Oryctolagus cuniculus: one gene and its partner. The protein of the gene in region 1 purifies or fractionates together with the protein of each later gene. This does not show direct contact. Links are inferred from orthologs where the notes say so. Each region holds a gene or a part of one and is shown in the gene's direction. Other genes may lie near its edges. The genes, in order: ITGA3 and CD9.

Region 1 (7,928 bases):
CCAATGGCCCAGGAGAGTCAGAGAAGAGGCAGACCTGGGGTTTTGTGGTTAGGGGTTAGCGCGCAGAAAGGGATGTGGGTCTCTCTCTCTCTCTCTCTCTCTCTCTCTCTGACACCAAAGGAGGAGCACGGAAGCTCTCTTGTCCATGTGTGGGGCACAAGGGCCAGGGGGCAGTGAGATGTAAAAGCCATCAGCAAACATCAAAAACTGGACGCGGACTCCTCACCCACGCGCTCTTGTTCCCTCGTGTCTGAGTTTCTAGCTGGGTCCCTGCTCCGTGGGGAAGCGTTGCCAGATGAGGCCAACCAAGCGATGAGATAAGGCTGTGGGTGGCAGTCACTGAAACCAGAGGATTTCTGACCTGTGGTTTGAACTTGGAGTTCCCTCCTCATCTCTCGAGCTCAGACCCCTCCTGGCTCCATGTCTCCCCCACCCCCATTCCATGCTCCCAGATCTGACACTCCTACACATTCCTCAGCTCGGGCCCTCCCCTCCTCCCCGTCTCCCCTGCTCCTGCCCCCACATTCCCTCTGGACACTCCCCTGGAGTGGAAAACCATCCCTCATCCCTTTCCTGCCCCCCCCATCCCTGAATCGGACATGCTGGTCATTCCTGTTTGGGATGGCCAGAGAGATAAGGCCTGGCAAGGAGCCCATTTGTCATCACAAGACTCTGAGTGGCAGGACTTATACCCACACTGAGTGTCCATCCTGGGCCCCTGTCCTCCTGATCCTGGCTGTGTCTCCTTCTTTAGGAACAAACTAGGAAGTCCAGGAAGTAGCAGAAGGAACAGGGGTGGAGGGAGGGATGGGAAAGCCATCTGGTCAACCTCTATCTAGGTCTGCTTCCTGTGCCTTGGCCTGGATGTCTCCTTACCCTGATGTCATGGGCCACAAGGCAGACCATGAGGGAGGCTGGGTGGCTCTGGAAGTCACAGCTTGGGAACAAACACTGTCTTAAGGGCAGTCGGGGACAAGCATCCTCTTCCCAACCACCACAGAAAAAGCTGTTATCGCAGCTGCTTTTGTTTACACGTCTGGTTGTTGATCAACATCTGCCTGGAGTTTGTCTCTCTCTCTCTCTCTTTTTAAGATTTTATTTATTTATTTGAGAGGTATTGTTACAGACAGAGAGAAAGGTCTATCATCCGCTGGTTCACTCCCCAATTGGCGGCAACCGCTGGAGCTGGGTTGATCAGAAGCCAGGAGCCGAGAGCTTTTTTCAGGTCTCCCACGCGGGTGCAGGGATCAAAGGACTTGGGCCATCTTCCTCTGCTTTCCCAGACCATACCAGAGAGCTGGATGGGAAGTGGAGCAGCTGGGACACGAACCAGTGCCCACGTGGGATGCTGGCGCCACAGTAGAAAGCTTAGCCTACTACACCACAGCATTGGCCCCAGAGTTTGTCTCTTAGAGACAGTGCTGTGGCCAATGGTTTCCATCCCAGCCCTGCCTCCCATAAGCTGTGTGACCTTGGACTGTCCTGGGGCTCCATTCTTTGAAAGGAAATGAAGAGGGTGATCCTGACCTCCCTGGGAAGCTGGCCGGATGAAATGGGTCTGCCCAAGAAATGATTCACAAACTGGAAAGCGAGGCTGGGCCAGGTCCCAGGCTCTGACTCTGATCTCCTCAGTCTCAGTTCTGTATTCTGCTCCTTACAGGGAGCCCCAGGCTGCAGGAGAGGCCAGGTCTGTCAGAGCTCAGTTAGCAGGCGTGCTCCTGAGCAGCGTTCCAGGGGCCGAAACACGGGGTTAGATTCCTAGCTGAGGGTCCTTAGCCTGAGCCTTCTCATCTTGAAACACAAAGGACAGCTCCATGATTGCTGTGAGCCTTTAATTTATTCATATTTGTAAAGCACTCAGTTCACGCTGCATATGTGTTTAATCGATAGGATTTCTCTTACTATGATGGTGAGAAGCTAGAGAGAAAAGAAAAACGCTCAGGGAAAATGTTGCGCTGCAGTAAGAGACATCTATTGTACTTCAAAAGTACACAGTGACCTCTGGCAGCTCTTTTCTGTTTGATTCTTCTAGGAATAATGAGATCTTTGGGTGCCGCCCACCCACCTCCACCTGGCACCCCCCCCACTGCTCACCTGGGGGTGCTGTCTTCCTGCCCAGCAACCCCACCCTGGCTCAGCCTCAGCCTGAGCGAAGGAGTGGACCTTTGAGATTCTGCCGGCCAGTCCCTGAAGGCAGTAGTGGAGGAGAAACCGGTGCAGTTTGGGCCAGCTCTGGCCACACAGTTCCCGCTACGGAGGGACTCGTCTTCAAGAGTCGCATCCACCTTCTAGAAGCAGCAACCCTTAAGGGGAAATGTTATCATTTTGCTAATTACAATTAGCGATGTTTGATAATTACCACTACTAAGTATCTGTCTGGCTTCGCTGTGGAGCCAGTCCCAGCTCGAATCAGGAAGGTGGGGGCGGGTGGATCGCAGAAATAAATCTTAACAGAGACAGAGGAGGGGCTGGGTGCGGGGAGAGCGCCCAGAGACCGCCAGCCACCTCCTGGGCACTCACAGCGCTGCGGAGGCGAGCCGAGCGTTGCAACCAGCAGCGCGCGGGGAGACCGTTCTCAGATGCGCCAACGCCCGGCCTCTTCAGCCGGGACAGCAGAGGTGGCTGCGCCTGCAACGGCCTTTCCTAAGGCGGCAGCAGCCGCAGCAAAGCGGCGGGGCAAATCCCAGCCCCGGCCCCGCCCGTCCAACCCTTCTCGCTCCGGAGGCGACGCTTCTCGAGAGATTCGAGGGGCGGAGAGGGCAAACTCAAGCTTTTTGGGGCTCCCGACAGGTGTCTGAGGGAGAGGGCGGAGCCAGGAAGGAAGGATGAGGAGGGCGGGGCGGTGCTGCCCCTTTAAGAGGCGGTGGCCGCGCGGGGACCTTTTCTCTTTCCCCGGAAGGAAAGCGGAGTCCGGGCTGGGCGCGCAAGGTGGGGAGGTGCGGGGCTGGGCGTGGGGAAGGCGGGGCGCGCGCAGTGGGACCCCTCCCTCCCGGCCTCCCGGCCTCCCGGCGGTCGACTGATCTCCCCGTCCGGATCCGCCGCCCAGCCGGGATCGAAGGCGACAGCGCAGCCAAGGGGGCGCGGCCGGGACAAGCTAGGGGGCCGGTGACCCGACTGCGGGAGAGGCGATTGAATAGACCCGCGGACCTTGGAAGGGGATCGGAGAGCGCAGAGCCGGAGCAGACGCGAAACTGAGCGGGGCTGAGGGCGAGGAACGGATCCGCACTCGGAGGCGCAGCGGCGCTGCGGGCACGGGTGGCCTCGGCAGCCAGGGAGCAGGTGAACAGGTCCTCGCTCCGCGCGCTCTCGCCCCGGCCGCTGCTCCGGCTAGCAGCCATGGGCCCTGGCGCCCGCCGCGCGCCCGGCGCCCCGCGCCCGCTGCTCTGCGCGTTCGCTTTGATGGTGGCGGCCGGCGGCCGCGTCGCCTCCGCCTTCAACCTGGACACCCGATTCCTTGTGGTAAAGGAGGCCAAGAACCCGAGCAGCCTCTTCGGCTACTCGGTCGCCCTCCACCGGCAGACCGAGCGGCAGCAACGCTACCTGTAAGTGGGGCTGGCGGGGGTGGGGCGGGACGGAGTGAGCGCGGCGGGGTGCGGTGCCGGAGCGGGGTCGCAGCCCACTGGACCCCCCGACCCTTGTGAGCCAGGATTCTGGGGAGCGGATTTCCGAGCAGCCCCCCGGGCTGCCGAGCTTTGGCGGGAAGTGGAGGATTGGGCGTGGTGTGGGGGGCAGTCCTCACTGGCAAGTGCTGACCTGGCCAGAACCTGTCTAGACGCGGCCCCTCCACCCTTCAGATCTCTGCGAGCAGAAGTGTGGTCCCTGTTGCCTGAGCCCCCAGCCAGCGGGTGAACGGAGTGCCTAGCGCTGGCCTCTTCTCTCCAGGGCTGGGAGCTGGATAAACAAGATAAACACACCTAGTGCCCCTCCCCCTCCCGGGGAGAACCCACAGCACATGCATTTAAGCCCGCACCTCGCACTTAGTCTGCGGCCACGCGGGCCACGCCCTCTGCAGAGCCAGACGGGATAGCCTGCTCAACCGCCCGGCGGGCTGGTGCAGGGGGAGCGGGGAGCCGACGGCTGAGTCCGGCCGTGCGGCCATGCGGAGCTGTCCAGAAGCTCCTTCTGACCCCGTGAGCGCAGGGGCGTGGATGAGAGAGAGGAGCTGTCCCCATTGGGACTGCGCCTCCCAGCCGCAGGGGCGCTCTCCCACCAGACATCATCCCCGCATTCCACAGATTCATGTTGAATCGCAGCCCTGAGTGTGTTTGTTTTGGTTTGAAGAGGGAAATGGTGTTTTTCTTCTGTTCTCCTTCCCCGACAGCTGCAAAGGAGAAGGAGCTGGAAGGGCTCAGGGGAGGAGGGAAAGAGAGCATCCAGCTGCCTGCCCCTCCCCGCAGACTCCCTCCGTAGGGACCCACACCCGGGGGCATGTCCAGGCTCCAGGGCTTTCTCTGCTGTGGGCTCAGAGTGTGCTGAGGTCGGCAGCTGGGGGCAGGGCCGGGGGAGGGGGAGAATGAGGCTGCCCAGGCTGGGACAGTGGTTAGGACAGGTCCTGCAAGCCGCTTTGGCCCCTACCGGCCAGGTGACCCGACAGGTGTCTGTCTTCCCCTGGCCTCTGACCCCACCGAGCTGGAAGAAACCTCTCCCAGCTCCGGCTGGGGCCTGCAGAAGCTTGAGGAAGTTGGGAATGGTCAAAGTCCAAACTGCCCCAGCCCTGGCCTCTGCCCCGTCGGCCCAGCCCCTACCCAGCCTGCCTGCCCGGGTGCAGCCTCACCTCCATCTGGCTTCTGTGGAGGTGAGGGCCACCACACCCTTCCTGGTCTGACTCCTGCTGCTGTCTGGCTTCAGCAAACCCCGAACGACCATCGGGGCGATTCTCTGTGCCAGTGCTCTTCCTGCCCTGGCCCGCGAAAAAGATGTTCAGGCTGCTGGATAGGAGTTTGCAGGGTGATGAGCAGATCGGTCTGGGAAGGCAGCACACGCAGCGACTCCGAGGCCGCCCCTCCCCCCTTTACCATGTGACCTTGAGCAGCACACGTTCCTTCCCTGGGACAGTTTTTCCCAAAAAGGGTTTGGAGTTGGATCTCTGTCTCCTGCCCACCTCCGAGGGCCTGCAAGAGGCGACTTGGCATTGTGGAGGGCAAAGAGGCTCCCAAGTGCCACTGCCAGGGTCCGGTCGTGGGTCTGTCCCTGAGACTATTTCTCCTCTGAAGGGGAAAGGGGCTCGTTCTTTAGGGGCGCCAGTGGGGCTTTAATGGGACCATGTGTTTGAAATGCACTGCCCAGGTGGCCGTCTGGGCTCGCCATAAAGCGCTAGTTAAATACCTGCGCCCCTCATCAGATTGCCTCCATTCCATTCCCGGCACCAGAGGCCGATTCCAACTTTCTGTTAACGCAGACCCCGCAGGACAGCACTGGTGGCTCAAGTAGTTGGGTTCCTGCCATCCACATGGGAGACTTGGATTGAGTTCCTGGTTCCCAGCTTCAGCCCTCAGGCCATTAAGGGCATTTGGGGGAGTGAAATAGTGGATGGAAGCTCTCTCTCAAATAAATAAATTTAAATGATTTTTTTTATAAAGTACCTTACATATGCCCACTTCCCCCAGGTGCAGCTGCAGGCTCTGGTGCTGCAACCAGGACCTGGATGCACCCCCAGAACCCACGAGCTCCACCCGAGATGGCTGAGCTAAGGGCTTCTGCTTTTCTGCCTGGGCAGCTCGAGATGGCATTAGGCCTTCCAATTGCAAGAAGGTTAGAGCTCATGGACCTCCAAGAGGCAGGTGGTTCTAGAGAGAGTTTGGGGCCTCCCTGCATGGGCATCCTCAGTCTTTTTCCAGAAGTGGGTCTACCTCTAGGCTTACCTCCTTGGCTCACTGAATTCTGTACGCTGGCCCTGTGGGAGAGCCAAGGGGGCCAGCTGGGCTTGGCAGCAGCCAGCTGTGTAGCCAGATGTGAGCAGCTGCCTGGGTACACCGCGCCCGGGGGGGAACTAGCGAGCCAAGCTGTGGCCTCACGTTCTGTTGCTCTCAAAGTCCCTTTGGAAGGAGAACAGGCTTGTGAGTCTGGGGTTCATAGAAGGTTTTTAGGAAATGAGGGATCTTTGAGAGTAGAGGCAGAATCCTGTGTGTTTTGTTCCTTGTCCTGGAGCGGGAAGAGGGGAGAGCACAGCTTTCCTGTTCTCAAATCCCCACCCCGGGGTAGGGGGACCCTCTCTGCTGCCCCATCGCCTTCCTTCCCCACCCACATCATCGGGGGTTCCCGCCAATGCACGACCCAGTCCCCCATCCCTGGAAAAGAGGAGCATGGGGGAGACCAGGGTACTTTGGCTTCTAATGGTGAGATGCATGCGGTCCCCCTGGAGGGAGGTGGCACCCGCCCTGTTGCTCCCTCCTGGAAGTCCTTGTGAGCCATGAGGGCAGGCTCTGAGCCTCTCTCCCTTTATCCTTTGCTGGAAATGAGGGCATCTGGAGGCCTGGCGCTCGTGGAAATGATGTCAGGCACAAGGTAGGCAGGAGCCCAGCTTACCTGCTGTGCTCTCCCGAAACAGGTTCCCCTGGGTGGGGCGGGTGCCTGGCAGCCTCCGAGGCTCGTGCCAGCAGAAATGGGCACAGCAGCTGTGGCTGCACGTGGCAGCTCCCTTCCCTCCGGTTCTCCCCAGCGACCAGTGACAGCCCCAGGGTCTTTGAAGTGGGCGGGCACCGAGGAAGGCCAGCCGCAAAGGCAGCAGCAGCAAAAGGGGCTTGCTTGGTCGCACAGGGCTAAGCCGGGGGGGGGGGGGGGGAGGATGTCCTTGCGGTAACCTCTTACCTGAGGTTAGATGACACCAAGAGTGCCCTGTGGTGGACAGGGATACTAAAGAGAGAGAGAAAGAAGAAGAAATGAAAAAAATAGTTTTTTTTTTCTTAACCTGAGCCTTGCCCACGGCCTCTTCTCCCATGCCTTCTCATTCTCTCACTGCCTCCAGCTGGTCGCTCTGGCTCTCGGGCTGAGTCACCAGTGGGGAGAGGGGGCTGGGTGGGCAGTGGAGGAGGAGCAGCGGGAGGATGGAGAGGGCTGCAGCTTCAGCTACCGCAGGAACTGCCTCTGGGGAGATGATTAATTTGGGCAACAGCGCTGGCACTGAGCTGGGATCCAAGATCTTGAGAACTGCCCATCCCCCTACCCTCTGGGGATCAGGGCTAGAGCAGGCCCCCTCCCCTCCTGCTTCCTGGCCTGGGAGGGGAGCACGTGCCTAGAGCTGGCCTGAGTGCTGGGTCCCTCTGGCCCCCTCTGAAACCTTCCCGGGAAGTTTTTTTTGGATGTTATGGATTTTTTTTCTCTGCGCCTCACCCCACCCTGTGTTCCCCCAGGGACCTCCTTCTCTTTGGAATGAGCCAACCTGGTGCCTGATCTCTCCTGGGTCCCATTCCTCAGCTTCTTTGATTCCATTGCTCGCTACTTGACTCTTCCATTAGCTTTGAACTGCCCGGGAGGAGTGACCGGGCAGGGGTGAGCATAGCTTTTCTGGAGCTTAGAGCTCAGGAGCCTCCCCAGGGGCCAGCAGGGGCTGTCTGCCTGGAGCCAGATGAGAGGGTGTGAGGAGGCAGCTGTTGGAAAGCCCCCGAGAGGTCATCTCCCCCACCCTCCTCCTCCCAGGGGCTCCCTGCTCCCTGACCCCAACCTGGTTGCATCTCTGGTCTTCCTTGCTCCATGAGCTCCATCTCTCCATCCAACCTCCCACCTTCTCCCTGGGCTGGGTGGACAGGTGCATTGGTGGCCTGGGAGGGGTTGGCTTTTAGACCCTGTGCTCTGGACAAGACCCAGCAGCAGGTGGATCACAGAGGTGCTTATTTGCCTACATGTTCTATTTTCTTTTTTCTTAAGATTTATTTGGAAAGCAGAGTTTTACACACGCACATACACACACACAGATATCTTCTGGCTGCTGG
Region 2 (7,875 bases), on another chromosome or scaffold:
CCCGTGGCACGAAGCTCAGGGGAGGCTCTGCTTCTGCGTCCGGTCCTCTCCCCGTCTCACCACGCGCGGTTTCCCCAGCAGTCAGCAGCCAGCAGTGGGTTTCCTGCCTCTGCGCACACAGTTCCCTCCGTCCGGCACTTTGCTCGCCGACCCCACCTCCCTAAGTCAGCCTCTGAAGCGTCCCTGGCTCTGCAGCCCCTGGCCCCACTCCTTGTCCCTAGGCTGTGTCTTATCTTCTGCTGAACAAAGATTTAGGAGCCTGTTATCTGTTCATGGGTCTCCCTGCCCCACACTGGGATCCTCCCGCGCTCTGTTCATGGACAGAGGCTGCTTCCTGGCATGCGGAATCATATACAAGCACCCAAGACACTGACAGCAAATGAGCAAAGCCCCCTCCATGACCTGGCTGCTGCCCCTCTGAGCCCCAGCTGTCCCTCCCCCTCCCACCTCATCCCATCACTCAGCTGCCCCGGCCATTGCCCCAGCCTCATTCGTGTCCCCTTGTCTCTCACCTTGTCTCTCCACTGCCCTCGGCACACCTTTCATCTCCCGATGCTGCCCCCATGGCACCCAGAGACAGCTTGCTCAGAGAGCATCTCAGCTCTCTGTCCAATGTCCCAAAGCTCCGAGCCAGGGACTGCAGACACCAGCAATGGCCCATGCCCTGCAGGAGCTTCCTGCCTGTCCCCTTCCTACCCACTTCCACCCAAGGAGAACCTAAAATGCAGGTAGGGCCCTACCTGGAACACACAGCTCATTACTCATTCCCCTCCCTGAACCCTTCACTGGCCATGCTCACTCAGAGTACAGAGCCCGCGGCTGAGAGACCTGGCACCCACACCCCGCACCTTCCCCTCCCCACACGCCTCCCACTGCGAGCTCCAGCCCAGACCCAGGAAGCCCCCATCTCAGCCCAGGATTCTCTCTCTATTGTCAGTTTCCCTGTGGAAAAGTTAATTCTTCCTGATTTAGAGCTAAAGCCCCAGCTCCCAGCTCCCTTGGTCCCCACGCCCACCTGTCACTCCACCCATCACCTTCCTCCCATCCCGTGCTGCCTGCCACCACCCGAGGCGCCACCACTGCCACTACTGATTGCTCTTTAACTGCCTGGAGGGCAGAAATAAGATCTCATCTACTTTCCCAGCTCCTATAAAATACCGTCACATGTACCGGAAACATGTATTTGAATGGTTCAGTCCAGGAGAGGAGACTAAGGATAATACGGAGACAAAGCAAGAGCTACAGTGCGATACCAGGGGCTGCTTCCAGTGCGTGGAATTTGTTGAGTCCTTTTTGTTTCTTAGCATTTTCTGGTGTTTTTTGTAATGAGCAGGCTTTGCCTTGGTAAGAATAACCAATGATCATGGGAGCCTCATTTCTTTTTTAAAGATTTACTTATTTATTTGAAAGGCAGAGTTAGAGAGAGGCAGAGGCAGAAAGAGGTCTTCCATCCACTGGCTCACTCCCCAAATGGCCACAATGCCCGGAGCTGCGCCGAGCGGAAGCCAGGAGCCTGGAGCCTCTTCCAGGTCTCCTGTGCGGGTGCAGGGGCCCAAGGGCTTGGCCCATCTTCTACTGCATTCCCAGGCCATCGCAGAGAGCGGAATTGAAAGTGGAGCAGGCGGGACTTGAACCAGCGCCCTTTTGGGATGCCTGCACTGCAGCTTTACCCGCTTGGCCAAAGCTCCGGCCCCAAGAGCCTCATTTTGGGGGGAAAAAAGTGCCAACAGGGCTCAAGGGTCTCCAAAAACCAAGACTCTCCTCACCCCGTAGGAAAGGTGTGTTGACATTATGGGGCCATCCCTGTCCTTCCAATGAAGGGGGCAGGGCCGGGCCAGGTGGAGGCAGAGCAGGGGTGAGGAGAGGCATGGCAGAAAGAGGAGTGTCATAGCAGGGCCTTGAGAGCAAGGTGAGGTGTCTCCCCTTAGGTCACAATGCGCGGAGCTGCCGCAAGTTTCTGAGTAGCGGGGAGCCGGCTCAGAGCTGGTCGCCGGGAGCATCCCACAGGCAGCCGTGCGCAGCTCTGGGAGTCCCGAGCAAGAGCGCGTGGAGGAGTGGAACAGAGACGTGGCGACCACCCCTCACCTTCCTACCGGGCATCCACACCGCAAGCCCCGGAAGCAACCTGGGCTGCCCGACTCTACTAGATAAACGATTTCCACAAGCCCCAGGTGTGCTCCCACCCGGCCTTGCGGACTTCTACCACCACCTCCTGTTCCACCTGGTGTGCCAAAGAAGAGCAAGTTCATCACCGGAGGGCCTGTGAAGAGCCGTCCGAGAGGGAAATAAAGGCAGGCAGCGACCCTCAGGCTGCAGCAGGCGCAGCAGGACCCGCGGGGGCCCCTCAGGCTGGAGCAGCCGCAGCAGGACCCGTGGGGGCAGGCGGCCGTGGGGAAGGGGCCTCCGGCTCCCGCCGCCCCGCCGAAGGCACCCCCAAGTGCAGCGCCAGTCTGGGGACCACCGGAAGGGCGAGGCTACCCGTACAACCCCCCGGTAACAGGGGCAGGGGTGGCGGCCAGGGGAGGCCCGGGGCAGAGAAAAGGAGACGGGGAAGTTGGGAGGGCGGTGGAGGGAAGCAGAGCAGGGGCGAGGCCTCGGGGAGCGGCAGGGTCCCTGCCTCGCGGACCTGGGCTGGGCGGTGCGGGGCGTGGGCGGGGCAGGTGGGGCCGGGAGGCGGGCTGGGCGGGGGCGGCGGCCCCGGCACATGCGCAGGGAACCCGCCGCGCGCCCTAAGGAGTGGCACTTTTTTAAAAGTGCAGCCGGAGGCCAAGCAGCAGCCGCCAGCACCTCCGTCCTTTGCCGGGTTCCACCAGCCCCAGCCCCAGCCCCAGCCCCAGCCCCAGCCCCAGTCCCAGCCGCAGCCTCAGCCTCAGCCCCAGCCGCAGCCGCAGCCGCAGCCGTTCGTGTTCCCAGGCCCACCCCCGGTCAAGCCAGCCAAGGCCCCTCTATTCAGCATCATGCCGGTCAAAGGAGGCACCAAGTGCATCAAGTACCTGCTCTTCGGGTTTAACTTCGTCTTCTGGGTGAGTGCGTGCCATGACCGCGCGTTCCTCTCACGGGCCACCTGTTTCTGGGCCCCCAAGCCCCCCCCCCCCGAGAGGGTCGGGGGCGCCACGGCGGCCGGCACTGCCCAGGCTGGGCGGGCGAGAGGGCCCTGCGGCTGCCAGCTGGCACCTCGGCCCCGGGCGCGCGGGACGGGCCCGTCCGCGAGGGGCTCTAGCGAGCCCGGGCGTGCCGGCCGCTCGCGTCCCTCTCCTCCGCGCGCACTGGAGTGGGGTTTGGGTGTGCTCCATGGGAAAGGCTGCGGGGAGAAGCGGGATACAGCTCTCTCGGGAACTCAGAGCCCTGGGCGGGGAGGACCGGCGGGCAGTGCAGTTGGTGGCCGGGTGGGGTCCACCGTGGGAGCGGGCGCTCCGAGGACTCGGCGGTGCGGACACTGTCCTCTCCGCCCTTTAACAGTGCAGGGGACCCGGGCCTGGGTGAGAGCCGAGACCCCGACCCCTCACCCCCACCCCGGGTCCCCTGGGGGAGGGACCGCGCGGCCCCCTTCACCCAAGATGGGGCTTGGCGCCGCCGTGCGAGCGGCCGCGCTCCCTTGCAGCAACCTGAAAGACGAGCTTGGCTTGATTTTGTTTTCCGAGGGCGATAAGCATCTTAACTGGAGAGAACTCTGGGAGAGTTGGGGAGGAAAGTAGGAGCTGATGCCTATCGCCGGCGCCTCCAGTGCGATGAGTCCCGGGTTTTGGCACTTCCGGCCTGGGATCAGGTGCCTGGGGCTGCCTGCCCGATGGCCAGGCGGGGTGCTCACCTGGAGAGGCCATCCGGGCAGGGCGCCCCGGGCACACCCACTGGCTATCAGAAGCAGTGGGAAAGGAGTGTGTCCAGGCCACACCTTTTTCCCTTGGGGGATGCAGGGACTTTTGTGTCCTGGTCCAGAGCCAATATCCCTTACACACAAATGGACCGCATTTGCCCCGTCTGCAGGCTGGAGAGGGTTTGGGAGGGCAGTTCCCGCACCACTCAGGAGAGGAAGCTGGAGAGGGCAGAGACTGGGACCCCAGAAATGCACTTCTTCCCCTGGAACAAATGACTGCTTCCCTGGGGCCCTGGGGTAGACGCCCTAAGATCTGACCCTCTGCAAGCTGAAGGCGCCGTAGCAGAGCCGTTCTGCAGCCTGCAGTCTGACCTGCCTTCGCGAGGGTCTGCACGCCCAACACACACTGCTGAGCATAGCACATAGGTGTGCCCCTGCCCGACCCTAGGCAGCTTCAGGGAGGCCCTGCCCTGGGGGGGGGGCACCCCCTCCTACTGGTGTTACCTACAGCCAGCCAGCTGCCAGTCTCAGCTTCTGCCTCTCCCCAAGTCTGTGTCCCAGAAAAGAATGTTTGAAGGAGCCTCACCCCACCCTCGTCATTTGAGGAGCTTTGCCCTCTGCCCTGCCAGTCCATTGGTTAGCCCTCGGCTGTTGGCTTAGATTGCCACAGCCAGACTGCACCCCCATCAGCCCCATGGCACATGGGGGAAGCTGATGGGAGTCTTGCAGGACCCGCAATCTGTCAAGACTGCTTCCAGCCTGCCACCCCACTCGAATTCACAGCTCCCTGCCTGGGCTAGGTGCTGCTGGTTAGCTCTGCCGGCCGAAACAAGGCTGACTCATGCTGGAAATGTTTGGGTTGAGAGTTGGGAGTGGCGCGGGAGCTCTCCTTCACAGTGAGGAAGCAGAGAACCAGATGCTGAGTGGGTTTGCCCAGGATCCCAGACAGCGCCACTGCCATTAACCCCTGGGTCCCTTCCTCTCCTTCTGTCCCTTGCCAAGCCCGTCACGGGGAGATGAGCAGCGACCACACTTTCCTGAGTATTTATTGGTCACTTGTCTTGTACTGGGGTCCTTGCAGAGGTAACGCCTTTTCCCCCCAGATGATGGTGGTGCACTTTGTGCCGTGTTTTGCAAAGTCCTTTCTTTTCCAACACAGAGCAGGAAGTGTCATCCCCCCTTTACCGACAACCAGGGAACTTGGTCCCCAAAGAAGTTAAGTGCCAAGGTCATGTGGCAGGAGCATATCAGATTAAGTTATTTTACCCAACTGGGTGGGAATGCAAGACAGTGGGATGAAGCTCCCCCTTCCTCCCAAAAAATTATTTTCCAAATTTTTATTTGAAAGGCACAGACAGAACTCCCATCTAGAGGTTTATTCCCCCAAATGTCTGCAGTAGCTTGGGTTGGTCTGGGCTGATGTTAGGAGCTGGGAACTCCTCCCAGGTCTCCCACGTAGTAGCAGGAATCCTGTTGAGCTGTCGCTGCTACCTCGCAGGATCTGCTTTAGCAGGGACACTGGAATCAAGAGCCAGAGCCAGGAATCAAACCCAGTACTCTGATGTGTGATGCAGGCGTTTTAACTGCCAGGCCAAACAACAGCTCCAAGACTCTTTTAAGGAAATCTAGGATCTAAGGAGACTGCTTGGATTATGATGATGTCACCACTTCCCTTTCTGTTCCAAGACCAGGGATTTATATCTTGGTATTTGAAAGCCGATATGGGTCTTGAAACGCAAGAGTTGTGAGGCCAGGAGCCCCCCACGTCTCCTGTACTGAGGATGCTGGGCACGGGCGATGGGGCGGTGTGGGGTCTGGCGGGGATGGAGAGAGAAGCCAGCCCCAGCGGCAGTGGGAAGGCTGTGGGCCACCTGGGACGTTGTGCCTCTGTCTGGCCCTGCTCTCAGTCCTGAGGATCCCTCCGTGACAGCTGCGCCTGTGCAGTCAGCCCTCCCCATGTCCGGTGTCTGATGCCCATGGCCAAACTAGCAATCAGCCTGTTTTTCCAACACCCCCAGAACCAAACCTCCTAGCTCTATTTTGGTTGTTTCTGCATTTCCTTCAGCCCTCCCTGCCCGCCAACCCCCTGCAAAACAGTTGAGAGGGAAAACATCTTCCTAGTATCAGAGTGCTAAACAACCCCGTTCAAGCTGGACGGGGGGACCAGGGCTAGGGCTACCCAAGGGATGTGCCATCCCCATTCTATTCGCAGATTCTAAGTCTGCACAGCGAGGGTTTCCGCCTTCTTCCTGGAGCTCCTTAGGATAAAGGAGGGGAAGAGTTGGCTGAACTGAGTGAGCCCAGTTCCTCGCCCTCCACCTCCTCCACTCTGCTCATCATGGCTCACCCCTGACCCTCCCTCAGTGATGGAAATAGCAGGGAGGGTCCTCTTTCCCAAGAAATGGTGTCACCTGGACCCAATGGGAGACGTGGACTCTGTCCCCAGACCTGTGCCCCGGAACTCAGTTTCCCCATTTGTAAAACCAGCGAACAGGTTAGAACATCACACTCAGCCTAGAAGCCAACCCCTGGAGCAATAGGACTTTCACACCCAGCCCCAGCCCCAGGCGGAAGTCAGGAAATGGAAAGATCTGTGTTTTCAAGACTCATCCTCCCAGCATCGCTGCCCCTGACTTCTGCCTCTGGAGCAAGAACCTGGTTCCTGTGTCTCTTTCCTGTTACCTCTCGCTCCCCTCTACTTGCCCTGGGTGGGCTCTCTGGTGGTGTTGTCAGTGCCCATGCACCTTAGCCCTCTGGTGCTCAGCGTCTCCCCGGGCATTGCTGTGGCAGCTCAAGAATGTGGGCCATGCCCTTGGCGTGGTAGCCTTGCACAGGGTGGCCTGGGAGAGCACTCCACAGGGTGGAGTGGAGAGCAGCCTCTGACAGGTGTGGCAGTGGGAGCCACAGATGCAGCCAGGAGCACTTCCGCCCGCACCATGCCTCCCTTCTTTGCCACCTCTTCCTGCCCCTGCGCCAGTCTTCCTGAACGTAAAACTGCCCCCGAGAAAAGCCGTGAGGCAGCAGGATTCGGAGCCTGGGCAGGGTATGGATGAGCAGGGTGGCACCGGCCAAAGCCCCTCCCTCTGGCTTGCTGCTCCTGGCAGAAGCTGCCTGACTTGGAGGTAGGGGCTGGGCCAGTGTGGACTGTGGGGCAGTTGGCTTCCCGCCCCTGGCGCCCAGACAGCCTGGGCCGCTGCTGAGCCGGGCTCTGTTTGTACTGAGGCTGGCAGGTTCCAGCAGAGGTGAGTTGAGGCCAGATGTCTGCATCTGGGAAGGAAAATGAGGCCTTTGCCTGCTCAGGCTCTCTCCCCAAACGTCTGGCCTTCTGATCTGGTGGTAGCAAGAGGATTCCTCCTGTACACTCAGTCTCCCTCCCTCACCCTCTCCACCCCTTTCTTTTTGAGTGACCGCCCCCAAGCACCTTCCAGACCCCACACTTTTGTGCTCAAAGAAAGCAGCTGCTAGTGCAGCCCGAGTCTGGTACTGCCTGCATAGGAAACTGTCACAGGCCACCCCCGCCCAGAGCCCCTACTCTGCTAACTGAGCCTTCCTTCCGTGTCTCATGGTCCCCATAAATCATTGCTGCCACACCTTCCTTTGGGTGGGAGCCCTCCAGCTTTGCACTCCGAGCTGTTTGTCCTGTGTGCGTTTTGTCTGTTTGCTTTCCCGTTCCGTTTTATGAGGAGGTGTGGCCTGGGGACTGGGCACACAGTGCAACTTAATAATACCTTGGGTTTACAAGAGCGCTTTCTCTCCCAAGCAACCCGGCCCCTCATGTTCCTGCCTGGGTGCGGCTGGCCCGGAGGGGAGGGGCCTAAGGTCGCCGCCGGCCATGGCCTCCGTGGGCGCCTTGTCGGCAGCCCGTCCCGGATAGACCCGAGTGGAGGAGTTGAGGACGCCCTTTGAGGTTTGGAGCCATGGCGCCTCCTTGCAGCGTTCAGGTGGTGTCGAGTATGATGCTGTGAGCCGCAGTGGCCGCTGTCTGCCCTGGAATGGGCTCTTCCTAGTCCGTTTTTAAGCCTTGGTGTTTGAAGACTGACTTCAGACGGCTGGCCTGTCTC

Evidence for each region.
Region 2: the proteins of ITGA3 (region 1) and CD9 purify together in Homo sapiens (affinity purification with western blotting; 3 studies listed by BioGRID and IntAct, with this or other methods). This does not show direct contact. The link is inferred for Oryctolagus cuniculus from reciprocal best matches to the Homo sapiens genes ITGA3 and CD9.

What each region holds. Positions count from the first base shown.
Region 1 is NC_091448.1:26,033,205-26,041,132, forward strand, and holds the start of ITGA3 (integrin alpha-3), read left to right. Parts: upstream 1-3,336; coding exon 3,337-3,542; exon of another isoform or gene 3,543-3,891; intron 3,892-4,774; exon of another isoform or gene 4,775-5,552; intron 5,553-7,928.
Region 2 is NC_091440.1:103,272,298-103,280,172, reverse strand, and holds the start of CD9 (CD9 antigen), read left to right. Parts: upstream 1-2,760; 5' UTR 2,761-2,957; coding exon 2,958-3,023; intron 3,024-7,875. UniProt on the Homo sapiens protein: Integral membrane protein associated with integrins, which regulates different processes, such as sperm-egg fusion, platelet activation and aggregation, and cell adhesion.